Kluyveromyces lactis: one gene and its partners. The protein of the gene in region 4 purifies or fractionates together with the protein of the main gene of each other region. This does not show direct contact. Links are inferred from orthologs where the notes say so. Each region holds a gene or a part of one and is shown on either strand. Other genes may lie near its edges.

What was found.
Region 1: the proteins of SDA1 (region 4) and TIF6 purify together in Saccharomyces cerevisiae (affinity purification with mass spectrometry; 3 studies listed by BioGRID). This does not show direct contact. The link is inferred for Kluyveromyces lactis from reciprocal best matches to the Saccharomyces cerevisiae genes SDA1 and TIF6.
Region 2: the proteins of SDA1 (region 4) and ALB1 purify together in Saccharomyces cerevisiae (affinity purification with mass spectrometry; 4 studies listed by BioGRID, with this or other methods). This does not show direct contact. The link is inferred for Kluyveromyces lactis from reciprocal best matches to the Saccharomyces cerevisiae genes SDA1 and ALB1.
Region 3: the proteins of SDA1 (region 4) and REA1 purify together in Saccharomyces cerevisiae (affinity purification with mass spectrometry; 4 studies listed by BioGRID, with this or other methods). This does not show direct contact. The link is inferred for Kluyveromyces lactis from reciprocal best matches to the Saccharomyces cerevisiae genes SDA1 and REA1.
Region 5: the proteins of SDA1 (region 4) and NUG1 purify together in Saccharomyces cerevisiae (affinity purification with mass spectrometry; 9 studies listed by BioGRID, with this or other methods). This does not show direct contact. The link is inferred for Kluyveromyces lactis from reciprocal best matches to the Saccharomyces cerevisiae genes SDA1 and NUG1.
Region 6: the proteins of SDA1 (region 4) and LSG1 purify together in Saccharomyces cerevisiae (affinity purification with mass spectrometry, with the first as the bait; 3 studies listed by BioGRID). This does not show direct contact. The link is inferred for Kluyveromyces lactis from reciprocal best matches to the Saccharomyces cerevisiae genes SDA1 and LSG1.
Region 7: the proteins of SDA1 (region 4) and NOG1 purify together in Saccharomyces cerevisiae (affinity purification with mass spectrometry; 6 studies listed by BioGRID, with this or other methods). This does not show direct contact. The link is inferred for Kluyveromyces lactis from reciprocal best matches to the Saccharomyces cerevisiae genes SDA1 and NOG1.

Annotation. Positions count from the first base shown.
Region 1 is NC_006040.1:175,407-178,644, reverse strand, and holds TIF6 (translation initiation factor 6), read left to right. Parts: upstream 1-2,000; coding exon 2,001-2,738; downstream 2,739-3,238. Other genes in the region: KLLA0_D02068g (uncharacterized protein), read right to left, coding at 164-1,381; SEC9 (Sec9p), read left to right, coding at 3,098-3,238. UniProt on the Saccharomyces cerevisiae protein: Binds to the 60S ribosomal subunit and prevents its association with the 40S ribosomal subunit to form the 80S initiation complex in the cytoplasm. Is also involved in ribosome biogenesis.
Region 2 is NC_006041.1:1,345,149-1,348,006, reverse strand, and holds ALB1 (Alb1p), read left to right. Parts: upstream 1-1,594; coding exon 1,595-2,077; downstream 2,078-2,858. Other genes in the region: DUF5427 domain-containing protein MTC1, read right to left, coding at 1-934; ribulose-phosphate 3-epimerase RPE1, read right to left, coding at 2,214-2,858. UniProt on the Saccharomyces cerevisiae protein: With ARX1, involved in proper assembly of pre-ribosomal particles during the biogenesis of the 60S ribosomal subunit. Accompanies the pre-60S particles to the cytoplasm.
Region 3 is NC_006042.1:1,851,279-1,856,134, reverse strand, and holds the start of REA1 (AAA family ATPase midasin), read left to right. Parts: upstream 1-1,705; coding exon 1,706-4,856. Other genes in the region: FIN1 (Fin1p), read left to right, coding at 1-114; REX3 (RNA exonuclease), read right to left, coding at 106-1,542. UniProt on the Saccharomyces cerevisiae protein: Nuclear chaperone required for maturation and nuclear export of pre-60S ribosome subunits.
Region 4 is NC_006037.1:498,408-503,187, forward strand, and holds SDA1 (Sda1p), read left to right. Parts: upstream 1-1,689; coding exon 1,690-3,969; downstream 3,970-4,780. Other genes in the region: transcription factor TFIIIB subunit BRF1, read left to right, coding at 1-1,137.
Region 5 is NC_006040.1:1,173,008-1,177,262, reverse strand, and holds NUG1 (RNA-binding GTPase NUG1), read left to right. Parts: upstream 1-1,593; coding exon 1,594-3,186; downstream 3,187-4,255. Other genes in the region: SUA7 (transcription factor TFIIB), read right to left, coding at 1-662; PAC2 (Pac2p), read left to right, coding at 3,562-4,255. UniProt on the Saccharomyces cerevisiae protein: GTPase required for 60S ribosomal subunit export to the cytoplasm.
Region 6 is NC_006042.1:641,234-645,600, reverse strand, and holds LSG1 (ribosome biogenesis GTPase LSG1), read left to right. Parts: upstream 1-1,723; coding exon 1,724-3,670; downstream 3,671-4,367. Other genes in the region: RRT2 (diphthamide synthase), read right to left, coding at 302-1,561. UniProt on the Saccharomyces cerevisiae protein: GTPase required for the nuclear export of the 60S ribosomal subunit. Acts by mediating the release of NMD3 from the 60S ribosomal subunit after export into the cytoplasm.
Region 7 is NC_006041.1:2,149,981-2,154,338, reverse strand, and holds NOG1 (putative GTPase NOG1), read left to right. Parts: upstream 1-1,648; coding exon 1,649-3,580; downstream 3,581-4,358. Other genes in the region: Sec63 complex subunit SEC62, read right to left, coding at 288-1,028. UniProt on the Saccharomyces cerevisiae protein: Involved in the biogenesis of the 60S ribosomal subunit.

The DNA of each region.
Region 1 (3,238 bases), on a different chromosome or scaffold from region 4:
ACAGATGATGCGACTAAGAGATAAGTTTATACAGTATTTTAATGATACGGGTTAACATCCCAGGCTTAGGATTTTTAGAGATTTATATAATAAAGGTTTGGAACTAGATGAGTTGTTTTGTATAAGGGTATTGATGTTGCTTATTATAGCGGAAAAGCTAGCGTCACAACGAATTAGTCAGTGACGTTGTGTTTTCCAAATCAGTTCCAGTTATACGTTCAGCCAAAAGTAGTTGTAAGGGATCTGAGAGGTCTACGTCCAGATCATCATCGGCATCCATGTCTTCCTGTGAAGCTGTCTTGAATGGTGTCAATTTGATATTTCTCATGCGTTTCTTTGCCGACCTTGCTGGTTTTGAAGATGAGTTTGAATAACCAATAGGTAGTATTTCAGGATTATGAGACTGTCGGTTCAGTTTTGAATCTGATTTTATCTTCAAAGGAACCTGTTGTGGCTGCTGATATTTCATTTCTCTTGCTGCCCTTTGGTTAGGATTTGGTAATTCTCCATATAGAGAAATAATCACATCCAACATCTGATCTCTGATTCGTTTCATGGAGCTATGACGTGGTATTTCATACTCTTGTGGATCCAAAAACAATGTTGCCAAGTAATCCATTTTTCTCTCCACTGTTTTCAACTCTAATTCTCTGTTCAACGCCGCTATATTTAATCTCTGTACCCTGAGTAACCCTAAGAGTACATTAGAAAATACTTCACATTTTTCGTCCTTCTTCAAGGAGTTATCATAAAACTTATCGAGCTCTTTTTCTATCGGGACCACTTCTTCATTTAAAACATGGGAGTTTTTATACATGTTGATGGAATCCCGAATAAAGGGTAAAATATTCCTAGTGAACAACATATGGTTTTTTTCCTTTCTTGATATTGTAGTACTAGCAACGGTTGAGGTCTCTCTAACGTCATTTCTATTCCCATCGTATGATGATGATGAGAAATGGGACACGTAATCTGAATTTGTCACTGTAGCCCCAGACATACCGGGAATTTTGTTGCTTTCCGGATGGTAGTACAAAGGGTCTTTTAAACTTGTCGTTAATCTTAGATCAATTGCAGGTGGTGTCAGTTTAGGTAAGAGCATTGACTTTAATTTGGAAATCTCATGGTTCTTCTGTTCCAATTCCAATTGCAAATGGAAGTTTTCGTTCTTTATCTTACTGACAATTTCTGTTGGCATTTCATTTTCCGTATTAACCAAAACTTCTGCTCTGCGATCCAAACAGACATTTTCATTCAATTTATCAGGTTTGCTCGAGACTTTATGCCTTCTATTCAACTTCGATGGGGATATTGCCTTCAATGACATTGCTTCCAATCCAGACGTCAAACTGCGCTCCGTTGTACTATTACAATCAGTCATCTTGGAAAGAGAAAAATGATTCAGTGAAACTTGATTCTTATGAATTGCTTGCCACTGATCGAACAGCTTTAAAATGTTTTCGTAAATGTAACTTACTGCAGGTTAGATACATGCAACATGCTTTTGTGTCAATATATTTGTTGTGAATGTGTCGCTTTTTCAGCTTGAAGCTGTTTAAATGTCGGAAATTGACGACTTAGTGAAGATATTCGACGCAAGTGCGGGTAACAAATAAAACACGCTCAGGTGTACGGTATACCCTGCGTTGAATCGTCTGGTGATCAGAAGAAAGAATGTGAAATGGAGAGCTATTTCTCGTCTAAGCTTCGAACGGTTGTTGGATAACTCTCACTGATCAAATTTATACATCTATAAGGGTACGAGATACCCATATAGTACTGTATGTGTGTTCTTCTCCGGGTAACCTAATTTGTGTTTCGTTTCTTTAAAACACTGCAATATGGAAAATTTTAAAGATTTCACTGGATAATTTCTAAGCTCATCTCATCTCATCTTGCGGATGGTTGATTCGGCTTGAATTAGTACAGTTCTTCTGACTTATAAACACTAGTTCTGCTTGTTACGCCAGTATACCACTGCAGATAAATCAACTGAAATTATGGCGACTAGGACACAATTTGAGAATTCTAACGAAATTGGTGTGTTTTCGAAGCTAACTAACTCGTACTGTTTGGTGGCACTTGGTGGTTCGGAGAACTTTTATTCTGCGTTTGAAGCCGAATTAGGAGATGCTATTCCTATTGCTCATACCACTATTGCAGGTACGAGGATTGTTGGTCGTATGACTGCTGGTAACCGTAGAGGGTTATTGGTTCCAACTCAAACTACCGACCAAGAATTACAACATTTGAGAAACTGTTTGCCAGATGCTGTGAAGGTTCAAAGAGTTGAGGAGAGATTATCTGCGTTAGGTAATGTTATCTGTTGTAATGATTATGTTGCTTTGGTTCATCCAGACATCGACAGAGAAACTGAGGAGTTGATTGCCGATGTCTTAGGTGTTGAAGTTTTCCGTCAAACAATTTCGGGTAACGTTCTTGTTGGTTCATATTGTGCGTTGTCTAACCAAGGTGGTCTAGTGCATCCTCAGACTACAGTACAAGACCAAGAAGAACTTTCCTCTTTGTTGCAAGTCCCACTAGTTGCTGGTACTGTGAACCGTGGTTCGCAAGTCGTCGGTGCTGGTATGGTCGTGAACGACTATTTGGCAGTTACTGGTCTAGATACCACCGCTCCAGAATTAAGTGTGATCGAATCTATCTTCCGTCTACAAGACGCTCAACCAGAAGCTATCTCTGGTAACTTGCGTGATACTTTGATCGAAACTTACTCATAAAAGGAATTGATACAATCGCTCTCTTCTGTCATTTATATCGTTTTGGCCCCCATTATCGCCCCATTTTTTAATGTAATATTGGTGTATATCTCTGGATCTGTATAGTACAATTTTTATTTTGATTGCTCTTTGGCATTTGCATCAACCCCATACTGTTTATTTCCTTCTTTCTTTTGTATTTTGTGCATCGTGGTTCACTAAGTACTACTGGACCCAAAAGAAACCTTTAAATTTAAATGAAACAAAAGAATCGAAAAGTTGTAGTTCCTTTAACATCAATTTTTAGATAGGTAAAGACAAGGTAAAAGGGGAACATCGATCAAATAAGGTTAAAAGGTTGCTGTTACCGTAGTGAAACCATGGGTATTAAGAAGTTCTTCAAGATCAAGCCACCTCCAGAGGCTACCCCCGAAGAAAACCGTGAATATTTGAACGAGTTAGGAATTTCCACCAAGACTACACCATCAAATAGAAGAGAAAAGTTTGCCGCATATGGGAAG
Region 2 (2,858 bases), on a different chromosome or scaffold from region 4:
CGGCTTCGGATGATCCGTCTTTCCCAGTAACCTCGCAGGCCAGAATGCTGACAAAAAGATCGCTTACTTTACTCACTGGGTTACTGGTTCTTCTCGATTGTTTCTTAGCAGTCTCCCACGTCTTGATTGCATTGTCAAGGTTGGCCAAGCATAATTTTTCACCGTCAACGGCTTTACCTTGGAAAAGGTTCAAGTTAACGTTATCATCCACTTTCCTGCCGTGATCCCATTCATCAGCAAATATTCTTATTCCACCTTGCACCTGTTGCGATAGTAATCTTTCGAATTGGTCTTCCACCTGATACGTAATCGTTTCCTCGTTCAAATTGTGTAAATCATGAACCAAATGAATTCTGATCACTTCATCCGTTTCACCAATGACAATCTTAGTCAATTGTGAAGTAAGCCCAGAAATGACATGAGACCCCTGCAATGCCGTTAATCTGGCCCCTATGTCGTTTATTTTCAAGTTGCCCTCTTGAGTAGCTATCTTCTCTTTCAATTGATTGGCTTGTTCTGTGGTCTTGTTCCAGAAACTGGATACTGTAGCAGAACCGCTAGATGACCACCAATTGGAAATTGACGCCAGTGGGTCCTGAACTGCCTCTTCACCTTCTTCTGCCACATGTTCTTCTTTTCCTTTCTGTTCACTCGGTTTCTCTTTACTGGCTGTCTCTTCTACAGGTTTCTCGTTCGATTCTGGCTTCTCCTCCGGTTTCTCTTTCTCTTGCTTCTTAGAGGATTGTGGCTTGTCCTTTTTGGACGGTTTCTTCTTAATATCCAGGTTACTATTTTCCAATTCGTCTAAGAATTCCATAATATCCTCATCCTGGCCGCCGTTCCCACTAACCTTACCCTTTCCCTTAGTGTTATTAGCAGTACTGGCTGGTAAAGAGTCTAAAAACTCTAGCACATCATCGGCATCACTAGTCATTTGGTGTTTTCTTTTTAAGTCTTTACTGTCGATAAAACTTGAATATTGATACGAATTGTTCAATCAAGAATCGATATATTCAAACTAGAAAATTATCGCTGAAAGGCAAGACAAAACTCCAACGGTTGAACTTAAACTAGCCTCCTAATCCTTGTGAACACAAGTATATAGTTTCTATCCTTTCTCTATTGTCATGGTTCCAACTACCGTGTGTTTTTTTCATGTATTGGTCCATTCTAAGGGTGGGTCGTATTTAAATATCCGGGTAACTATGTCACTTTCATTACCATGAAATAACGCTGGTATACATAAAGTGAGCAGTTAGCCGAAATGTAATGAGCACCGTGGCCTTTATCACCACCTATTCTTACCCCTTCCATAGATGGTGCTCTCCAGTACCAATGTCGGCATGTCTTGGCTTAAATCTTAGCATTTTTCATTAACTAATACCGTATCTATTTTGTACTGCCGTTTCTTTTCTAAAATTTTTCATCTCATCTCATCGCGAATCTGTTGAAAAGTTAATGCATCTCCATACCATGTACTTGATCCCCCGTTACTATTCACCTGTGCTAGCTATCTTGTTACTTGTTACTCTTAGTACTGGCTAGTATTCCTGGAACTACAAGTTAACGGTTAATCACAGTACTAAAATTCGAGATGCCATCTAAGAACTCCATTAACAGGCCAAAGCAAAAGGTTAACTTGAACCGTAAGGTTCATCAACGTGCTGCCAAGAGAGATGCTATGGAAAAGAAGGGTTTATTGGCACCAGCAAGATCTTCAGGAACATCTAAATCTGGTCAGTTGAAGAGTATACCATTGGATCTTTACAAAGGCGAGCATTCGACCTCTGGTGCTCTTACGACCAAGACTCTTTCGAAGAAAAGAGCAAAGAAGATCGAACGTAACTTGAAATACGTGGAACAAAGAAAACTATTAGTTGATCTACAATCTCAAAGTGAGGAAAACGGTGGTATGCAGATTGATGCGCCTGTTGTGAAGAAGGAGAAGGAAACCAAGAAAGGACAATTGGAAAAGATGAGAGAGGCTATTTCCACGGTGTTGGAAGATATTCAATCTCAAGGTTTATCCCTTCAGACAGGTTCTGGTACAACTCTAGGTGGTCAGTATTTCTTGTAGAGAGTCTTAAAAATCGTTAAATGGGGTTTGCATTGTCTATATAAACATTTTGTATACTAGGATAGATCTTAAACGGATCGTTCATTAAATATTATTCTGACATAAAAAAGAGTGCGTATATGTACTTAGGTACTTACTACTTTTCGTATAAACCTTTGGTCACTAATGCATCATTGACCTTGGTTTTCATAAATCCAATGACATCTGCTGGGTCGTGCGCGCGGAACACAGAGGTACCGGCAACAATGACATTGGCACCTGCCTCGGCAGCAAGTTCGACATTCTGTTTACCAAGACCACCATCGACTTGAATGTTCAAATTAGGAAATCTAGTTCTCAAGTCCTTCACTTTGCTCATCATATCGGCCATGAATTTTTGGCCACCGAAACCCGGTTCGACAGTCATTACAAGAGCCATATCCAGGGATGGTGCCAACTCGTACAACACATCCACAGGGGTACCTGGCTTCACAGAACAGGCAGCCTTCATACCATGCTTCTTAATTAGCTTAACCAACGCTACCGGGTCCTTTGTAGCCTCGTAATGGAATGTGAACTGATCGCAACCGATCCTAGCAAAATCTTCGACCCATCTTTCAGGTTCACTAACCATCATATGACAATCGAAGAATGCTCTTGGTAACTTGGTGTCTGGATCGTTGTACTTTCCGATAACTTTACGTAGCGATTCGACAACCGGTTGTCCCAATGACATATTAGGAACGAAGTGACCATCCATAATATCGATGTGTAACCAATCGGCACCAGAGTTAATCACATT
Region 3 (4,856 bases), on a different chromosome or scaffold from region 4:
GATCGGATTATATCTATTGAACTAAACGAAATGAGGAAATTAAACGAGGCGTTAATCGCTCGAATAGAAGAACTAGAGCAAAGAATGGCTAGACTAGAAGATAGATTACCATGACTTCTTATCCAAGGGGATACTCAATTTTTTTTTAATGACATCCATTGCCGCAATAGCATCTTCTGAACTGTCATGTTCTCCTCCTTGAATTCTACGACTTAAGATTTCAAAAGACAAGTTCTTCAAAGAGGATTTATACTTACCTGCTGGATACAAAACGGCAGTGTCTATTACTTTGTCATGTACTATGCGCATTACTCGTAAATCGTTATCCAAACCATGTCCTATAAGTATGCTATTTTGATTGATCATGCTAGGACAGATGTAACATTTTTCTGCTTCATGAATTGTAGGTGCAGTATCATCTATATGATGAATCCCACTAAATTTAGAATTTAAATCTATAATTTCGCCCAGTGGCTTTATTACCTTGTCATACACTACTTCTGAGGACCAGAAGTCAACTATTGTAATTCTAATCATTTCATACCCTTTCGATGTGAAAGCCATCTCACAGTCTAATGCCAAAACGTTCTCTTCGCCTTTGATATCAACGAGAGATTTAAAAGGGACCACACTCGACAGTTTTGTGAAATTCTCCCATTTGTAAACGTGATTTTTCGCTTTCATACACCCTGCAGATATGTCTGAATATGATTCAAGGGAAGCTCCACAACAAGGAAATTCTCTTTTTTTAGTTTCTCTGTTATATACTTTCCTTTGAAGGTGGTACCGACATACTGTCGGTTCCATAATTTTTGTCACATCAAATTTAGTTTCACATCTATAGCATTCCACATAATCTGATTCTGATTCATTGATCGGATCAGTGTCATACATCTTGACAAAAAATCCGTTCCTACTGAGTGTTTCCTCGTCGAGTAGCAAAGATCGTAGTTTTTGCAATACGTGGGACCTTTGTATTAATGACGAACTATTATTCTTAGGTTTGCCAGTTTTATCAAGATTACCCTTATATTTAACAATATCTCGTAATAGAATGGAAGCATTGAACGCGTAACTTTGTCTTGTTTTTGCTATTTTAGCAACCTCATGTTCCCAAATAGTCGATGCCTTTATAATGTGAGGGCTGCTCGATTGAAACCTCTTTAACTGTGTGTATATCTTTTGGACAACTCTAACTCTGTCTTGATACGGAGCAGGTTGCATTTTCATGTCAACCGGACGTAAAACTGGATTACCGACCATAATTATTGCATACAGAGGAATGTATCGGAAGACAATGGAGTTCAGATGGATTGTAAACTTTAGGCTTGCTGTTAATGGCTCTCTCAAAGCATTCTTTTCTCTTACCCATCCATTTTTCTTTTGCCGATGAGATGGATTGCAGGTATATCTTTCTTTCACTGAAATATTTATTTCTTTTTGGTGTTTTTCTGTGCTCTGAGAATTTTTTAAACAAAAGCGATGAGATGAGATGAGATGAGATGACTTTAAACAAACTGCCAAATTGAGTGTAGGATACATTTAACTGCAGATCCGCTATAGACTTAGCAAAGTAAGGCATATCACTTCTTTCACAGAGTATCAAAACATCGAAACGGATATTTTCTATTCTGCCTCTGTTTATTGACTAGGAAAGAAAGAAGAATTGCTTATAAGAGGGGCGAAGGATTGAATTACTATAGCCATGTCCTCTGCATTAATTTATTTAGATGTTACTGCGGCCGAGGAAAACTTCACTATATACCAGAAGGCTTTTACTCAGCAGCACTTGTCTGACTATTATAGATTTGATGCCAAGCTTTCAACCGATGAGAACTTGTCGAATTTAGCATTTTCCTCGTTAAAAGAAGATTTAACGATTCCTCATTTATACATTTACAAGAATATATTCTTGGACTGTTGCTCTAGATGGATTTTGCAACACGACTCCAAGAAGTTTGTCACGGTATTACACGCATTGGGCAGAATTGCAAGTTTATATCCGGAAGCTTCGCAATTGATCGAAGTGTTCTTGCTCAGAAATGGTGACTACTTTAACGCATTGTTACAAACTTACCAAGCTCATGATCCAAAGGACATCGAGTTGATCCTTTTGGCTTATTATCGATTGATTCAGTATGACAAGATCAGATTTGAGAGATATATCAATGCTCAAACTCTTAATTCACTTTTGGCACACCAATCTACAATCATCAAATTTTTGTCATTAAAAGTTCTTAATATGCTTATTGAAATGGCAGAGCACGCCTGTGAACTTGTGGTCCAAAATCAACTTAAACTGTCAACTGAACCTATCTTAAGTGTATTTGAAGGTGCTTCCGATGTAGATTATCAATTTTTGGAACTTACTGAAGCTAAAAGGCTCTCAAATTACCATAGTCTACCAAATGAAATCAATGAACTTGTTTCTTATCCAAAGAACTTCAGACCAACTGGAAAATCGTTCAACATCGATATCAATGAACTTTCGTCGTTGATTGTTGAAGTATGTGGTGTATTTATTGCCAGAATCTCCGAAGCACCTTCTAATGAAGAACATCTAAAGTCAGATCTAGTATATACGGATGGTGCCAAGTTGGCCTTACAAAAATTGGCCGAAGGTATTCAGCGCAACAAGCCTGTAATGCTTGTGGGTAAGGCTGGATCAGGTAAAACATTTTTGATCAATGAGCTTTCAAAAAAAATGAACTGCGATAGTTCTGTTGTCAAAATTCATTTAGGTGAACAAACTGATGCTAAACTACTTTTGGGTACATATACATCAGGTGAAAAACCCGGTTCTTTTGAATGGAGATCCGGTGTTCTCACAACAGCAGTTAAAGAGGGACGATGGGTACTTATCGAGGATATCAACAAAGCGCCAACCGAAGTCTTGTCTGTTCTTCTTACCCTTCTTGAAAAAAGAGAAATATCCATTCCATCTAGAGGTGAAGTCATCAAAGCTGCCAACGGTTTCCAGTTATTAGCAACAATAAGACTAGACGAGCACACCTCCCATGGTGGCATTACGCATGAGTCTGACCTGATTGGTATGAGATTATGGGAGAAAATCCTTGTAGATGAGCCGTCTGAAGACGATTTGAAGCTTATTCTACAAAAAAGGTTTTCTTTGTTAACTGCCTTAATACCGAAACTTATCAGCACCTACAAATCTGTGAAAGATATTTACAGAAATCCACAATTTGTTTCATTGAACAAAGGTGTTCAACCAAGAATCATTAGTGTTCGAGATTTAGTTAAACTAAGTCAGAGAATCACCGAACTTTTTGAAGCTAATCAAGTTGTTAAACCGGATCAACTTATCGAGTCGTCTATCTATGATGATATTTTTGCTGAAGCTGTCGATTGTTTTGTTGGTTCGATTAGTGAATATGGAGCCGTACAGCCCTTAGTACAGAAAATTGGAGAAGAGCTTGAAGTTTCAGTTTCCAGAATCACGTTGTTCTTGAACAAGCATGTACCGGCAATCGAAAAAGCTGGTGATGATGTGAAAATTGGAAGAGCTCACCTAAGAAGACCCAAGTCAACTATTCATAAAAAAAGTGCCAACACTACATCGTTTGCGTTTACCAATCATTCTCTTCGTTTAATGGAACAAATTGGTGTTGCCGTCAAAATGTGTGAACCAACATTATTAGTCGGTGAGACCGGTACTGGTAAAACTACTGTAGTTCAAGAGTTAGCAAAGCTAATGAATAAGAATTTGACGGTTATTAACGTTTCCCAGCAGACTGAGAGCGGTGATCTATTAGGTGGTTACAAGCCTGTGAATTGTAGGACTGTCGCAATTCCAATTCTAGAAGATTTTGAGGGGCTTTTCCTTGCTACATTCTCTTTGAAGAAGAACGAGAAGTTCTATAAACTCCTCCATAAGTGCTTCTCCAAGGGGCAATGGAAGAACGTCGCTAAACTTTGGAAAGAAGCTATTAAAATGGCTGATAGCATTCTAAAAAAGGACTCAAATGAGAAAGAGGAAGCTGACAAGAAAAAAAAGCGTAAACTCGACCCTGAGAGTAAACAAGCTTTATTGGAAAAATGGAAGGAATTCAGACAAACAGTTGAATCATTTGAATTACAATCCTCTACTTTGGAAAACTCGTTTGTGTTTAATTTTGTGGAAGGTTCTTTGGTGAAGGCTGTCAGAAATGGAGAATGGTTGTTATTGGATGAAGTCAACTTGGCCTCGGCAGACACGCTTGAAAACATAGCTGATTTGCTTTCAGAAAGTGACTCTAGAAGTATACTTCTATCTGAAAAAGGTGAGGCAGAATCGATAAAAGCCCATCCAGATTTCAGAATTTTCGCTTGTATGAACCCTGCTACAGATGTCGGTAAGAGAGATTTACCACCAGGTATTCGATCAAGATTTACCGAAGTTTATGTTCATTCTCCTGACCGTGACATCTCTGATCTATTGTCTATCATTGACAAGTACATTTCAAAGTATAGCGTAAGCGACGAATGGGTTGGTAACGACATCGCTGAACTTTATTTAGAAGCAAAAAGGCTTGCAGAAGCTAATAAGATTGTCGATGGTTCCAATCAAAGACCCCATTTCAGCATCCGTACATTGACCAGAACATTACTTTATGTCACGGACATTGTACATATTTATGGCCTAAGACGATCTTTGTACGAAGGATTTTGTATGGCATTTTTAACACTGTTGAATCTACCATCAGAGGAATTATTAAGGGGGATTATAGAGAAATTCATCCTAGGTAGAATAAAAAATCCACATTCTGTCATGTCTCAAATTCCTCCTTCTCCAGGTACTAATTATGTTCAGTTCAGACATTATTGGATGAAACAAGGACCTGCTGATATTACACCAC
Region 4 (4,780 bases):
TTACAAATAGTTAAGTTACCTCTAGCTGACCCATCTTTGTTCATTCAACATTTCGCGGAGAAATTGGAGCTTGGTGATAAAAAGATTAAAGTGATAAGGGACGCTGTGAAACTGGCACAAACTATGTCCAGAGATTGGATGTATGAAGGGAGAAGACCAGCTGGTATCGCAGGTGCATGTCTCTTACTTGCCTGTAGAATGAACAATTTGAGAAGAACGCATTCTGAAATCGTGGCAATATCTCATGTTGCAGAGGAAACGCTTCAGCAAAGATTGAATGAGTTTAAGAATACAACATCAGCTAAGCTCTCCGTGAAAGAGTTCCGTGATGATGAAACTGAGGTAAATGAGGGTGAGAGAAGTGCCGAATCGAAACCTCCTAGTTTCGATAAGAACAGACTAAAGGAAAAGAAAATAAAAGATTCTTTGGATACTAAAGAGATGTTGGAGACAAGCGAGGAAGCCGTGTCAAGAAATCCAATTTTGACTCAAGTGCTCGGAGCGCAGGAACTATCGTCTAAAGAAGTCCTTTATTATTTGAAGAAGCTTTCTGAACGCAGAAAAGCTGAATTCAGTCGTATAAAAGCTACGCATGGAATCGATGGAGAAGACTTACACAAAACTGAGAAAGACAAGAAACGTTCCCTGGATGAAATTGATGGATATAGTCTTGAAAAGGATCCATATAGACCAAGAAATTTACATTTATTACCCACCACAGCTTCTCTGCTTTCAAAAGTCAGCGATCATCCTGAAAATTTGGATGATGTTGATGATGCAGAATTGGATTCTCACTTGTTAGATGAAGAAGCTTCCAAATTGAAAGAACGTATTTGGATTGATATCAACGGTGATTACTTGATTGAACAAGAATCAAAAAGACTCAAACAGGAAGCAGATTTGGCCAGTGGGAATACTTCGCTACGAAAAAAACGCAGCAAACGTACTAATAGAAACCAATCCAGTGCAAGCATCGTCAAAGTTCAAGTCGACGGACTACCGCTTGATGTTTCCGTGGATGACGCTGATGCTGTAGATGTTGTCGCAGCTGGAGGTGTCAAGAATCTATTACAAAAGACGACTTTCTCAAAGAAGATCAATTACGATGCTATTAACGGTCTCTTTGGACAAAAATAGTTTCTACGTCGTCACTGTTTCTCTTCTCTTGTACGATATCCATCAGATCAAACTCAAGAAAATTATATGAATACCAACTGCTATTTACATATCGTTACTTGATACAGATGTCTGTTTTTGCTCTTTTTTATTTTAATATTTTACACTAAATTGGTGTATCAATTTCATTTCGATTATATTTTTGGAACTATATTTAAACGGCGTACATAATTTATAAACATTGCAAACAAATATTCGTTTGGTGTGGACTATTATTCATTTATGGAACACAATAATAAGCTACCATCAGTATACCATTTTGCCTATTCAGATATTAAAGAGCCTTAAACCCACTTTTTGCCTCTGGTTTCTTCTTTCCGTACCGTGAGTGAAAAGAAATTTTTTAGAAGGAAGAAAATTTTGAGATGAGATGCGATGAGATAGAACCTATGTATGAACAAAGTATATCACTCCGAGACAACTAAAGTTGCCTAACACTATTCGAACTTGTGCAAATCAACTAAGTATTTCCGAACAGTGAAAAGGAATCACATAATCAAATAAGAAACAAATATGGTTAGGAGATCTCGTGCTGCTATTCTACCGACAAACATTATTCTCTTGCAGAACCTTGTTAAGCGTGATCCTGAATCCTATCGTGAAGAGTTTCTACAGCAATATGCTCACTACCAATCATTAAGAGACATTTTCATGTTAAATTCGGTCAACAACGAGAGCACTGATGAAAGTGCAATGGCTGAGTTTATGGGAGCAATTGGATTTGTATCTCAAGTTTGTTCCTGTTATCCTCGTGAAACGGCAAACTTCCCAAACGAATTGAAACAGTTAGTATTAGATCACCACAAATCGCTTCCGTTTGACGTGAAAGAAAAGATTATCACCAGTCTAACTATGTTGAGAAATAAGAACGTTATCAGCCCTGAGACTTTGATTCAAACTATGTTCCCATTGCTTATTGCATACTCTTCCCCTAGTAATTCGATGGTCCAGAATTCTCACGCCAAAGAGCTAAGAACTTTAATCTACAACACTCTAGTACAGTTGATGAAATCTTGTAACACCAGTGGTAAGAACCAAAAATTAAACAAATCTACCCATGCGTTGTGTTTCAATTTGTTGGAACAGCCAGATTCTCAAGGTATATGGGCATCGAAATTGACAAGAGAGTTATGGAGAAGAGGTATCTGGGACGATTCAAGATCGGTTGAAATTATGACCCATGCTGCACTACATAACGATGTTAAAATTGCATACAGTGGTGTCTTGTTCTTTTTGGATGCTGATAAAGAGCGTGAAGAAGCGTTTGAAGAAAACGACGATGAGGATGAAATCGATACTACCGCTTTGAAGCACAAGCTCCAGATCAACAAGAAATCTAGTAAAAGAGGTAAGAAGCTAGAGCAAGCACTTAAGGTCGTAAAGAAGAAATCTGCTAAAGGTGTTCAACAGAATAATTTCTTAAATTTCAGTGCCATCCATCTATTACGTGATCCACAAGGGTTTGCCGAGAAATTGTTTGAAAGACATCTAAGTGGTAAGAATTCGAACAAATTTGATTTCGAACAAAAGACTGCCATCATGCAATTATTATCCCGTTTAACAGGTACACACAAGTTAATGGTTCTTGGACTATATTCATACTTCTTAAAATACCTGACGCCAAAGCAAAGGGACGTTACCAAGATTCTATCTGCTGCAGCCCAATCCTGTCATGATCTTGTTCCTCCAGAGACCATTGAAGTGATGGTGAGGAAGATAGCCAACGAGTTTGTTAGCGACGGTGTTTCAAATGAGGTTGCCACTGTGGGTTTGAATACAGTCAGAGAAATCTTGACTCGTGCCCCATTAGCTATCGATGAGACTTTACTACAAGATTTAACCGAATATAAGGGCTCCAAGGCCAAGAGTGTCGCCATTGCTGCTAAGGGTTTGATTGCATTATACAGAGAAGTTGCTCCGGAGATGTTAAAGAAGAAAGATCGTGGTAAGACCGCTTCTATGGGACTACAGGACGACAAACGCAATGGCAGGGAATCCAAACGTGTCAAGTTTGGTGTCGAGACTACTAATGTACAAGGTATAGATGGTATTGAGTTACTAGCGAAGTGGAAGCGTGAGAACGGAAACGAGGAGGATGATGATGATGAGGCTGCATGGGATTTGAACAACCGGGATGAATTATCAGATGCTTCGGATGTAGAAGGTGAGTGGGTGACGATAGAAAGCGATAAAGAGTACGAAGTTGACATGGACTCTGACGATGAGGAAAGCAAGAACAAAACAGGTCATAAGGGTAAGAAACGTTCCCACGATGAAGTCGAACCGGAAGCTGGTGAAGATAGTGATTTAGAATTATCCGGTGATGAAGAAGAACCAAAGGTGGGAGAAGAGCAGAAGGAAGAAAGTGAATCCGCTGACCCAGAAGAAGCTTTCCGTGAATTAGCATCCAGTCGTATCTTAACACCAGCCGATTTCGCTAAACTTCAAGAACTACGTACTGAAAAGGGTGTTACTAAACTTATGGGGATCAACAACGAAGAAACTATTGAGCATTACAAGCTTATGGGTCCAGCCAAGCACAAGAAACAGAACAAAGAGGAAAGAATGGCATCTATTATGGAAGGTCGTGAAGACCGTGAAAAATACGGAAGTAAGCGTGGTAAGCGTGACAGTTCAATGAGATCAACTACAAATAAAGAGAAATCTAGAAAGAAGAACTTTGTGATGATGATCCATAAGAGATCTGTGAAGGGTAAGCAAAAAATGTCGCTTCGTGACAAACAAAAGGTCTTGCGTGCTCATATCACGAAGCAAAAGAAGAAAGGTAATTAAACTAGATGGCATGGCAAAAGTAGTTATATTAATTATAGGCACTTGTAGACACAGCATATAAAAGATAGAAAAAAAAGACACGTCAGTGTCACGTGACCAACTCATTTTCTCCATTTAGCCCAGTTTTGAAGTTGTCCTTTCAGCCAATGTGATATCACCATCCGAGACCACTTGTCTGCTGCTCATATCCCAGGTCAAAAAGGACTATTAACACGGCTTAACGGTGTGCCAACGGTTTTGGACCGAGAAGGACATGATCTAACAGGGAAAAAAAAAACTCGAAAAGAAAAAGAGACCACTACAGGATGTTTGAGGAACTTCAGCTTGAATGGAAATCTCGACACTATCAGCTATATTCATGCGTCGGCATTAAGCCTTCTTCGCATCACGGGCTGTGGCCCGTGATGCTGGCCCGCACTAAATGGGGCCGGGAAGGCATATGTTCCAACGCGTTACTCTCGAGGGAACGATTTACTACTGCCTAGACTAGCTCGTCTCAGTATTATTCAATGTAGTGCAGCAGCATTCACCTGGGGTGATGTCTTTACAATAAAACCTATACAGTACAACAAGAGCCGACTTTAACTCACAATTGAATGATGAGTCGTCAGTGAAGTAATCGCAAACGCAGTTAAGACGAACTATTGAAACGGTCGCACCTATGTATTCCTGTGTTTATTTTAATCTACCATTGATAGCCTCTTGTCTTTTACTTGTTAAGTTTCTATTTGTATGGGGTACAGTAGTAAGAAATCAGGCTTTCAGCCTGATTTCGATGAAATTTCGTCCATCCGCCCTAGAATGAGGCGCA
Region 5 (4,255 bases), on a different chromosome or scaffold from region 4:
TTTTCTCTTAGAATGTTCTTGATGATGGTAAACGTCTTCCCGATTTCCTTCTTCCGCACGTTAGTCAAGGATAAGATTTCCTTGAAAGATCTCCCGACCTCTGCTCTCCGACATCCGACAAGAATAACTGAAGCCATGATACTTTCCTGTGATTTCCCCTTCAAGACTCTCTCTTCGAAGCATAATTTATAAGCTTCTTTAGCACAATCTTTAACAATCTTGGGCAGTTCTGCAGCATCACACATCATAGTAATCTTCGCATATGCAGCTTGCAACTCGTTATCCTTCTTGTCAACGATAGATTTCGACTGAGCCCTATTCAAATCCCTAGTAACTCTAGCATCACTTCCCTGGGCCTGCCCGATACGTGTGGTTAAATGGTTTCCATCCAACAAAGGATTTGAAGCTTCACCAACACGACTTGGATCGTCTCCATTCTGATCGTCATTGCTAAAAGTACGCCATTCTGACCTGGTATCCACAATTCTATCCGATAAGACTAACCCACATAATGCACAGACGATATCACCTTCACTAAACCGTTCCACAACTTTCGGAGGATAAACTTTACATTCGGGACACGATATAACAATGTTCAAATTTGGCCCCCTCCTTCTAGATGAGACAGCTACATTTGCTGAAGCTGCTGCTGGCAATGACATAGTTTCTCTTTTCTCTTGCCTCGGTATATGACTCAGAACAGCCTAAAAAAATAGCTGGAAACTGAACGGTAAGAAGTCGAATGATGAGCCGCTAAGATAACTAAACTTAGGCGCTGCTTTTGTTATAAAAGAACAGAAGAAATACCGATTAACCAACTAGTAGACGGACAAGACTGTGTAAGTTGCAACTGGATAGCTCCTTATCATTTTAGTTTCTCAATTTCTAAGCAAAAATGCTGGAAACTCGACGGAAATATATATCACGTGATAAACGCCACAGAAACAACCGTGGCATGTCTCTTGTTTACGGTTGATGAAAATTTTCACGAGATCCGGGTAACAAGTAATAACTTCGCAGTTATTACTACACTGACTGGAAGTAGAGAGGATGAGAGATGTGGTAAAACAAGTTCCACCCTCGCAACTTCGTATCGTATATCACGTTATATCAGTTCTTATTACTGAGATGATTTTTGTTCCCTGCTAGTGTCAAAAAAAACTGCGCAACGGCTACTGGGCTGCCTTTATATGTACTGACAGTTTCACTGCCCTTGACGGTATTACTGTATATATAATGTTAAATATCTGCCTGGAAGTGCTCATAGATATACCAAATACGTCCCAAATATTATTGACACAAATTATGGCTTGCGAGTAGCATAAGATTGCCTCGTAATTGACGAGTATCCACTGTGTTTCCACTGTCGTCCGCCAGCAAAAAGAAATTCTTTTCTACTTTGAAATTTTTCAGCTCTTCGAAATATGTTAAAACCTGCGATGAGATGAGATGAGATGAGATGAGACTTGATATTTACAGAACACCTGTTCAAGTAGATGTTTCAGTACTGTTTTCCGTGATAAGTTCACCGGAACAGCTAAGATATCTATAATCCAGTGCAGTAAATATACCTTTTTCCATTAATCAAAAGAGATGGTGAGAGTAAGAAAGAGAACTTCCAAGAGAACTTCCACTCGTATGAAGGAGGGTATCAAGAAGAAGGCTGCTGCTCAACATAGGAAAGAGCGGAAACTTGCTAAGAAGGATGTGACATGGAAATCCAATAAGAGTAAGGATCCAGGTATTCCGGCCAATTTCCCGTACAAGAACAGGATCATCGAAGAGATTGAAGCGAAGAGAAGAACTGATTTGGAGGAGAAAGAACGTAGAAAGCAGGAAAGGTTAGAGGCTAAGAGAAGAACTCGTGAACTAGGTGAAGATGTTGGTGATGACGATGAATCTATGGATGAAGATGAAAACGACGGCAACAATGGTCTTTCTGCTTTGTTAGAATCCGCTCAGCAAGCTGCAAAGGAGTACAATGGGGAAGGTATCGATGATACAATGAATGGAGAGCAAGAGGATTTAGAGGTTGCTGAATACGACGTAGACTTTTACGCTGACGCAGATGATGATGATTCTGAATTAGAAAAGTCTAGAAAGGCTTACGATAAGATATTCAAGACTGTGGTGGATGCGTCCGATGTTATCCTTTACGTGCTAGATGCAAGAGATCCAGAAGGAACTAGATCGAGAAGAGTGGAACAGGCCGTGCTTCAATCCCAGGGTAAGAGACTAATTTTGATCTTGAACAAGATCGATTTAGTGCCACCATACGTGTTGCAACAATGGTTAACCTTTTTGAAATCCTCGTTCCCTACTATTCCATTGAGAGCTGCTCCTGGTGCCACTAACTCCACATCTTTCAACAGGACTTTGACTCAGGCTACAACTGCTTCAAGCTTGTTAGAAGCTTTGAAGACTTACTCCAATAATTCAAACTTGAAGAGATCCATCGTTGTTGGTGTCATCGGTTATCCAAACGTCGGTAAGTCGTCTGTCATTAACGCATTGACCTCTCGCCGTGGTGGTTCTTCTAAAGCATGTCCAGTGGGTAACCAAGCTGGTGTCACTACATCTATGAGAGAAGTCAAGGTAGATAACAAGCTAAAGATCTTGGATTCTCCAGGTATTTGTTTCCCAAGTGAAAATAAAAAGATGAGTAGAGTGGAACAAGAAGCAGAGTTGGCCTTGTTGAACGCTCTACCTCCAAAATTCATCATAGATCCTTACCCAGCTGTGCTCAAATTAGTGAAGAGACTTTCTAAATCTGAAGAAATGACTGAAAGTTTCAAGAAGTTGTACGAATTACCACCTATCCCAGCTGCCGATGCAGACTCTTTCACCAAACAATTCTTGATCCATATCGCCCGTAAGAGAGGTAGATTAGGTAAGGGCGGTGTTCCAAACTTGGCCAGCGCTGGTATATCCGTTCTTAACGATTGGAGAGATGGTAAGATCCTAGGATGGGTTCTACCCAATGCTTCTAAGGAATCTGCTGCAGAACATGCTGCTACATCTGGTGAAGCTAACCAACCAACTCTAGGTACTGGTGCTGTCGCAGCACCAGCTAAGGTGGAACAAACGACCATTGTTCAAGAATGGTCCAAGGAATTCGATTTGGATGGTCTTTTCGCGTCATTGGATAACGCCATTGAAGCTGAACAAGACAACTTAGGTAATTGAGAACACAGAAAACGAATTATTCTGCATCTCTATGAAATACGATCAAGGATCCTATTGCTTATTTTATTTCGCATCGTTAAAGCTATAGATTTAAAAGCTTATGTATTAGGATGTGAATTTGAACACCCGTTTCAGTCCACGCACCTAATAGACAATACACATTTGTACACTACTACATATAAATGATTTAATATCTTCTTCGGCAAGACGTTTTTGTCATCTCTTTTCTTTAGGTAACAAACCTTTAAATAATACTTTAAATGCCTACTAAAATCAAAATGTTTAAAAGAGTGAAGAAGAGAAATAATCCGTGAGTCTACCATACGAACTCCAGGCTACACTATGTGTACAGCGTGACTAAATCTAGGGCCAAATATGCAGATCAATGTCAATGATAGATTGAATATAGGAGGTGAGTTTTGCACAGTACGATACATCGGATCATTGCCAGAATGGCCTAATATCGTTGCATATGGTTTAGAGTGGGACAACAAGCAAAGAGGTAAACATGATGGAACGTTAAACGGAGTACGATACTTCAGAACATCCGATGGACAGAGCAGTGGCTCATTTGTGAAGGAGACTAAACTAGATACATCTCGGCAAGAGAGAACATCGTTTGAAGGTGCATTATTGATGAAATACGGTGATACTTCATCAATCGATATTACCTACAAATTTGGGTCGAAAGAGACTGAGTCATATGGATTTGAGCATTTGAATGAAATGAACTCTGATTTTGACAAGTTGGAAAGTATCACGCTATCAGAAAACAACATTTTCCGAGCTTTCAAGACAACCTGTTCGAGCATTCCGTTTAATAGTGCTCATTCTTCTCTGCGATACCTTGATTTATCCTTCAATCTGTTTTCTGACATAAATGAGGTGTACCGCATACTGCGACTATTTCCATCTGTCGAGACTGTTATATTGAGTGGGAACTGTTTCACGAAGTTAGAAGCGGATTCCAGTGAACAGTTTGAATTTTCCAATGTCAAAGAACTATCAATGGCATGTTGTAAGCTCCGAAATGGAGATATAGAGACAATAATAGAGGCTTTCCCTCAAA
Region 6 (4,367 bases), on a different chromosome or scaffold from region 4:
GAAATTATGAAGCTCCTACTACTTCATCAAAATACCAATCTTTGAAGTCTTTTTCTTTATATTAACTGAAGTAATTAAATTTTAGATCAAAGGATTACTTACCCAGTTTTTCCAAAACTTTCGTGTTTTGGTGTTGCAGGATGAAGATACTTGAAGTCACGTGCGTTAATAAGATGAAACAAATGGTCCTATATTTAAAAAAGAATACATACTGAAGCTCATCGAAACAGCGAAGTGAGAACACATCAATTATGTCTCAATTCCGTCTGCTTTTTTCGTTCCTTTTAAAACTATATGTGTATTAATTTGGACTTTTCCAAAGTTGTAGGGACTTGTCATAAAAAGAACAAGTTGCAACTGTTTCTTTACTCCAATCACCACCGTAACACATTGATTCATGCCCTTCTTTTATAAACTGCTCGGTCACGAAATGATCGTTTTGGACGTTGACAACCTTCGCACCATTATACATGCAACAAACCATAAGTCTGTTATTTGACAGTCCGTCATTCGTTGGGGCCTCCGAGAATCTCCAAACACCACCCTGTAAATTGTCTTCCCATTTATTAACCACAGGGACGTCTGTCCCTGGATATATTGTGGTTTCTGAGAGCATTCTTAGATCAAAGGATCGTATATGGTCATCATAAGAGCCTGTGATTAAACTTGTTGGCTTGTTGCCTCTAAATGTCTCCCTAGCAGCCTTAATTGCCGTAACACCAGCTTGATGAATTTTTGAATTGGACCAGATCTTTTTGCCTGAATTCAAATCATGAGCTGCAATTGCAGAGTCGTCACCACCAGTGAATACAACATCTTTCAAAGGAGCCAAACAGCCGAACTCGCCGGTCCAGCACTCCAAAGAATGTTTGAAATGAAAGATTTGTTCATGGTCATTCTGAACATTTATAACTTTGATGTCTGCATTTGGCACCTCAATATAATTTATTGTTGAGGAGTCGAAATACGATGGCTCCACCTCCTCTATAAAGCATATTTCACCATGTATGATATCAACAGTAGCAAAATCCCCATTAGTAGTGGTTAAAAGTACGAGATTATCCAGCAATGGAGAAAACTGGAGAGACGTTATTAGACATGTGGGATCAAATACTTGAAGGTTGTTCAATAGTTTGATATCAATTGATGAATTATCATCGTCGACAGATATCGTCCACAGAATCATATTACCGGTTGAATGAGCTGTTGCGAGTAAAGTATCATCGAATGGATTGAGCTTCAAATCTAAAATTGCCCCATAGGTTTTTATGCTAGAAAGAAGGTTCAATTCTTTATCATAAACCTCAATAGAGCCAGTTCGATTGCCTGAGTCCTTATGCAAGAGATAGGTACCCACAATGATAAATTTCTCTCTTAAAATACACAAGCAACATGGAGGAAGACGCGTGGTAACCCTTTTATCAGCTGCAGTTTCTTCCATTCTGCAGAAACTCTTGACTTCTAATTTTGTCGCTCCTCTAAGGTGGTATGCAATACCTATGTTGGAGTCGTACTCTGCATCCTCATCATGCGGGTGCTTTTGTAAAGATTGTTGAGCCATCCATCTGTTCTAGTTCAGGTTTACCACACAATTTCTTTTTTACACTTTACGTACTAGCGGAAAATTTTAATATGTTAACCAGCTCATCTCATCATAAGCAAAGCATCAGCACAACAATCTTAGCAGTTAACGGCAGGTCTACAAGCAACACGGACTAGCAGCATGCCACCAAAGGAAACAACAAAGAAGTGGAAACCTCCAAAGGGTCCAAAGCCTATTCAAAGGAAGAATAAAAACACTATTGGGTTAGGTAAGGCAATTCAAACTGCAAGACGTAAGGAAAATGAAGTGCAGTATTTGCCAGATGGTGAAGAACGTTTCACTACCGATAAGCACGAAGCTAATTGGGTAAAATTGAGATCTGTTACTCAGGAATCTGCATTAGATGAATTTTTGAGTACTGCTGAGTTAGCAGACAAGGATTTCACAGCGGACAGACATTCTAATGTCAAGATCATCAGAATGGATAACGGTGCCGATGCAGCCACATCCCAGGGATTTAGTTTGACCAATGAGCAGAAAAGTAAGATCAACGAGAAGCAGAGATTACATGCTAGAGAGTTGATTGTCCCAAGAAGGCCTAAGTGGAATGAATCTATGACCAGATTTGAATTAGAAAGGTTAGAAAAGGAAGCATTCTTGGAATGGAGACGTAAATTAGCCTATTTGCAAGAAGACAACGAGGATTTGTTATTGACTCCATTCGAGAGAAACATTGAAGTTTGGAGGCAGTTGTGGAGAGTTGTTGAGCGATGTGATCTAGTAGTCCAAATCGTGGATGCCAGAGATCCATTATTATTCAGATCCACAGATTTAGAGAAATATGTGAAAGAAGTGGATGACAGGAAACAGAATTTACTTTTGATCAACAAAGCGGATTTATTAACAAGAAAGCAACGTATTATTTGGGCCAAGTACCTTCTCTCGAGGGGCATCTCTTTTACATTCTTTTCTGCTGCCAAGGCTAATGAAATATTAGAGAGACAAGAGGAACTAGGGGATGAATACGTTGAAGAAGAGGACGATGAGGAAATACTGGCTACAGAGGAAGAAATTGAAGAACTTGATGGGGAAGAAGTGAACAAAGAAATTCTGGATAAAATTAACATACTGAAGATCGATCAACTTGAAGAATTGTTCTTAGATAAAGCGCCAAACGATCCGCTACTTCCTCCATTGCCCGGTCAAGAGCCAATCATACAAATAGGTCTAGTGGGTTATCCAAACGTTGGTAAGTCTTCCACTATAAATGCCTTGGTGGGTGCCAAGAAAGTTTCTGTCTCTTCTACCCCTGGTAAGACCAAACATTTCCAAACTATCAAGTTATCTGATAAGGTAACGTTATGCGACTGTCCAGGTCTAGTTTTCCCTAATTTTGCATACAATAAAGGTGAATTGGTGTGTAACGGTGTTCTACCGATCGATCAGTTACGTGACTATATTGGGCCATCGACATTAGTGGCAGAAAGGGTCCCTAAATACTTTTTGGAAGCCATTTACGGTATCCATATTCAGACCAAATCCGTAGAAGAGGGTGGGAATGGTGAAGTACCAACTGCACAAGAATTACTCGTTGCTTATGCCAGAGCTCGTGGTTATATGACACAAGGTTTTGGTGCCGCAGATGAATCTCGTGCCTCTCGTTACATTCTCAAAGATTATGTGAACGGTAAACTCCTGTACATTAATCCACCGCCTCACATGGACGATGATACGCCATATACCAGAGAAGAATGTAAGGAATTCAACAAAGATTTATACACGTTCAGTAAATTACCTATCAACAGACAAGAGCAACTTGCAGAAGCTGCCAAACACAAAGGTATACAAGATTTGGATCTTGCTCGCGATTTAAGTCGATTAACGTTCTCTGCTCATATTGGTGGTGATGGTGATAAAGTACAAGCTAAATCTGTCAACCATGGTGGTAAACAAGCAGCCTTGTACAACGTAGCTGATGAACTTGACAAAAATTTCTTCCATTTGAACGGTGTTCAAGGCAGACTTACGAACCCTTTCCATAAGCAAACCGTCGCCAACGAAAATGGTAAGAAGCATAACAAGAAGAACAAGAAGAGTAAGAAAAAGGCTTCCATGTTTTCCGATTAATGTAAGTACTATCTAAATTCATCCTAAACTCTTATATATATATAAATCCACTGTTTGCACAGTCTATTATCCCCATTCATTATGGAAATGTAACTGCATATCCTTTATATCTTCCTTAGCTGCCCTGCTTCCGGTTATAAGACCTATGGTTAGCATGCAACTTGTCACTGCATTACCCGGTGTTTACTGAAAAATTTGATGAACCAAAAGAAAAGGATACAAAACTTGGTTAAAGTTGGTTTACTTTATACTTGACCTCAGTACATGGTCCAGTTGATAAGTATTCTTGTCATTTGTGGTTATCTTTTTGGTTCCTAGCTCAGCAAACAAGGGCTCTTAAACACATTTCGGCATGTTCAATTATGGTTCGCGTTGTGGTTATCATGGCGCAGACTTATTCCACGCATGTAGAAGTAAGCTCAAGATGCCCAGAGCTGGGATACTCCCATTTAACGCCCTTTTCGCTAACAACAACTGAATTCCTACAGTTTGTAGTTTGATAGTAGGTGGGCGGAAATATTACCCATTTAATTGGTTCAGTAGTTTCCTCTGAAATATTATGAGAGTCGTATGAATTTGTATATCAATAAGATTTAGCAATAGTTAACCAAGTTCAGCCTTATGTTATACTTACCATCGGTAGATACATTAAGTAGCACTCGGTCCACTCTTTCTTACATGCGCTTTTGTAAGGGTT
Region 7 (4,358 bases), on a different chromosome or scaffold from region 4:
TCTGCTTTCATTACTGTTTTCATTACTGTTGCTGCGTTTTTCATTTTCTTACTTGACCTTAAATCAATTCATGCAAAATAAAACTTTAAAAGAAGGTGATTTCTAGTGTCAGAAACCAAAGATGTCACTACTGATATTAGTATGAGTACATATATCTATATTTATATATGTTTGTATGTTTATATGTGATATTAGTATGTGATTCTCACCGAAAGAATGAACATACACCTTCTGTGATAGTTAAATTGCTAATGTACAGTCTGGGATGGAAGTCCGTTACATTGAAGTTATTTTTGCTTCTTTGCAACTGATCTATGCTTTCTCTTTTCTTTCTTCAGGAAGCTATAGCATTCCTTTTCACCAAATCCATATAGCGGTTTGAAACTTTCTATAACACCGCAATCTTCGAACAAGTTTGGGAAGAGCCAGAACCCACCCTTCTCGCTAACTGCAGCTAATGACAACAAGTAAACTATCAATCTCACAATTGCAATACCAAAGAATACACCGATAAGTGCCAATGCTGCAATGGATAAGTAGTAAGTACCACGTTTCATATATGGAGGCCATAATGGGTAACACACGAATGCTAGCACACCGACTATGATACCGATCACAGTCAAGTAATCATAAATTGATTTTGGATTATAAGACCAGACGTAATATTCATCTGGTTGTAGAGTCGCTTTATTCGATAATAATAAGTTTGGATATGATTTGTTTGGCTTTAGACCATGTTCTTTACATTCTGCAGAATGTAATTTAACCGCTGGTACGACAAATTGGGCCTTGATTAAGGAAACAAAAATGTTACGAGCATCTTCATCGCTTGTCACAGCGGGGTACAATTCGGGTTGTTTTTTGGACTTTGCCTTATATTTATCACTTTTCAAAGCTCTAACAAATCTTTTATAACGGAAGAAGTCAACTAAACGCGATTGGAACAATCCTTGTCTTTGCTTCAAGTCGCTATGAGTCCTGAGTAGATTGGCAATGGCTATCGTAGATTGTGGGCTTGGTTCCGACATAGTAACGAAACAAATCTATATTTGAAGAGAAAAATTCAAAAAAAAAAGGCGGATAAGGCAATTCTACCGGAAATTAGGCAATTATCAGGTAGTGATTAGAAAGTTATAATGAATCTAGAGATTGGACTCAAGCTGTATTCTTTCAGATCAAAATCTCATTGATATTTCTGTATATATTGAAAGTTGAAACGTAAACCGTAAATAAAATGTTCACATACATTTTAACAGTAAAATATATTGTTACCCCGACAGTCTCAAAAGAAAGTGCTTTAGTCACGTGACATAACCAATGTGTATGCCTTTAACGGTCAATTCTGAGATCCATACGAAAAAGAAATCCTGAAAGCACAATTTTTTTTTTCTTTTCAAAGGTTTGCAGTAGTGGGAAAATTTTCCAAACGGCAAGCTCATCTCATCTCATCTCATCTCATTGTGCATTCGAAGTGATAGACAGAGCTTGATTATCAGTGTGACATCCGTTTGACAGGTAGTTTGAATAGATTGGAAGTTTGTTCAAACAACTAAGCATAGCTTAACTGCATTATTGCTAGTTTAATTGTTTTTTGTTGTCCCCGTGTGTGCGTGTATCCCAAAGTTTACGTCAAATCAATTAAGCAACAATGCAATTATCCTGGAAAGATATTCCGACCGTGGCTCCTGCCAATGACTTGTTGGACATTGTGTTGAACAGAACTCAAAGAAAGACACCTACTGTTATTAGACCAGGTTTCAATATCACTCGTATCAGAGCGTTTTACATGAGAAAGGTGAAGTTCACCGGTGAAGGGTTCGTGGAAAAATTTGATGATATTTTGAAAGGTTTCCCTAATATTAACGACGTGCATCCTTTCCATAGGGATTTGATGGATACTTTGTATGAAAAGAATCATTTCAAAGTTTCTTTGGCTGCTGTGAGTCGTGCTAAGACATTGGTCGAACAAGTTGAAAGAGATTACACAAGATTGTTAAAATTCGGTCAATCTCTTTTCCAATGTAAACAATTGAAGAGAGCCGCTCTTGGTAGAATGGCTACCATTGTGAAGAAGTTGAAGGATCCTTTAGTGTATTTGGAACAAGTTAGACAACATTTGGGTAGAATGCCATCCATCGACCCAAACACCAGAACTTTGTTGATTTGCGGTTATCCAAATGTGGGTAAATCCTCTTTCTTGAGATGTATCACTAAGGCTGATGTCGAAGTGCAACCTTATGCTTTCACCACCAAGTCGCTATATGTGGGTCATTTTGATTATAAATACTTGAGATTCCAAGCGATTGATACTCCAGGTATCTTGGATAGACCTACGGATGAAATGAACAACGTCGAAATGCAATCCATTTATGCTATTGCTCATTTGCGTTCTACTGTTATGTACTTCATGGATCTATCAGAACAGTGTGGTTTCTCTATTGAAGCTCAAGTCAAATTATTCCATTCGATCAAACCATTGTTTGCCAATAAATCCGTCATGGTCGTCATTAACAAGACTGATATCATTAAACCTGAAGATTTAGACGAAGAACGTAAGAAACTTTTGGATACTGTTTTGGAAGTTCCAGGTGTTGAAATCATGACCACTTCTTGTCATGAAGAAGATAACGTTATGGCTGTTAGAAACAAGGCTTGTGAAAAGTTGTTGGCTTCCAGAATTGAAAACAAGCTAAAATCTCAAGCTAGAATCACTAACGTCTTAAACAAGATCCACGTCGCTCAACCTCAAAAGCGTGATGATGGTATTGACAGAACTCCATATATTCCAGAAGCCATCGCTAAGATGAAGAAATATGATCCAGAAGATCCAAACAGAAGAAAATTGGCTAAAGAAATTGAAATCGAAAACGGTGGGGCCGGTGTATACAACGTTAATTTGAAGGACAAGTATCTATTGGAAGACGATGAATGGAAGAACGATGTCATGCCAGAAATCTTAGATGGTAAGAACGTTTATGACTTCTTGGATCCAGAAATCGCAATCAAATTACAAGCTTTAGAGGAAGAAGAAGAAAGATTAGAATCTGAAGGCTTCTATGAATCCGACGAAGAAGAAACTTACGAAGGATTTGATGCTGACGAAATCTCTGAGATCAGAGAAAAGGCAGAATGGATTAGAGATAGACAAAAGAAGATGATCAATGCTTCAAGAAACAGAAAGGCATTGAAGAACCGTGGTACCATGCCTCGTTCTAAATTGGCAAAGACATATGGTGACATGGAGAAGCACATGTCTTCTTTAGGTCACGATATGACTGCTTTGCAAGATAAGCAAAGAGTCGCTGCTGAAAAGAACAGATATGAGCAAACTGGTGCTGACGTGGTATACGGTGATCAAGAAGATTCTGCTCCAGCTGGTAAGCTAAGACAGACAGATAGATTGACAGACGGTGTTGCTGATGGTTCAATGAGATCGAAGGCTGAAAGAATGGCCAAATTAGAAAGAAGAGAAAGAAACAGAATGGCCAGAGCCGGTGAATCTGACAGACATGCTACTGCCTCTCTACCAAAACATTTGTTCTCAGGTAAGCGTGGTGTTGGTAAGACTGATTTCCGTTAAACTGTCTGTTCTTCCTTCCTTTCCATCACTGGTGATTTCGAACATATATTATCGTGTTGCCAATTTCTTTTCTATCTCTATTGAACTATATATATTAGTCACTACTTTCATTTATTTGTCTGCATTGGGTGGGTTAAATTTAATTATTACTCCTTTATTTGTAAAATAGTTACGTACTCTGTAAAATTATAAGAGTTATACCTTTGATTTGCTTTTCCTTGACCAAATAACCAACATCCCTCTGACCTCAGTAACAATTTTATCTTTGAAAGTTATTGACTAATCTTGAAGAATAAAAAGGATGAAAATTGTAGGATCTAAATAAAATAGAAAAAAAGGAAACACTGACATAAATATTTCACCAAAACAATCTCAGTATACCTGGAATATTTAACCGTCGACCAACATCATTTTGCTTGAGTTATATTTGATTGCCTCTATTATTTCTCTATCGGTTTATCAGGCGACAGTTTTTTTTTTCTCTCTCCTATGTGCCCTTAGTACAGGGCAAGAAAAAAAAGGACGGCTTCACAACACACATCTAGGTAGGCCTCTTTCACAAAAAATTGACTCTCAGTAACATATAAGCCATGAGATTTTAGCACTTGAAAGTACGGGTGACATAAAAGCTCCAATAAAACTCTACAAAACGATATATGCTCTTTGTATATGTCAATTGTAAAAGGTGCTTTCCGTCTGAAAAGTGTTCGTATGATTTTCGAAGAAAAATTCCCGGTGTCAGTTTTAAGATGTCACAAAATGAGCAAATAAGAGAGCA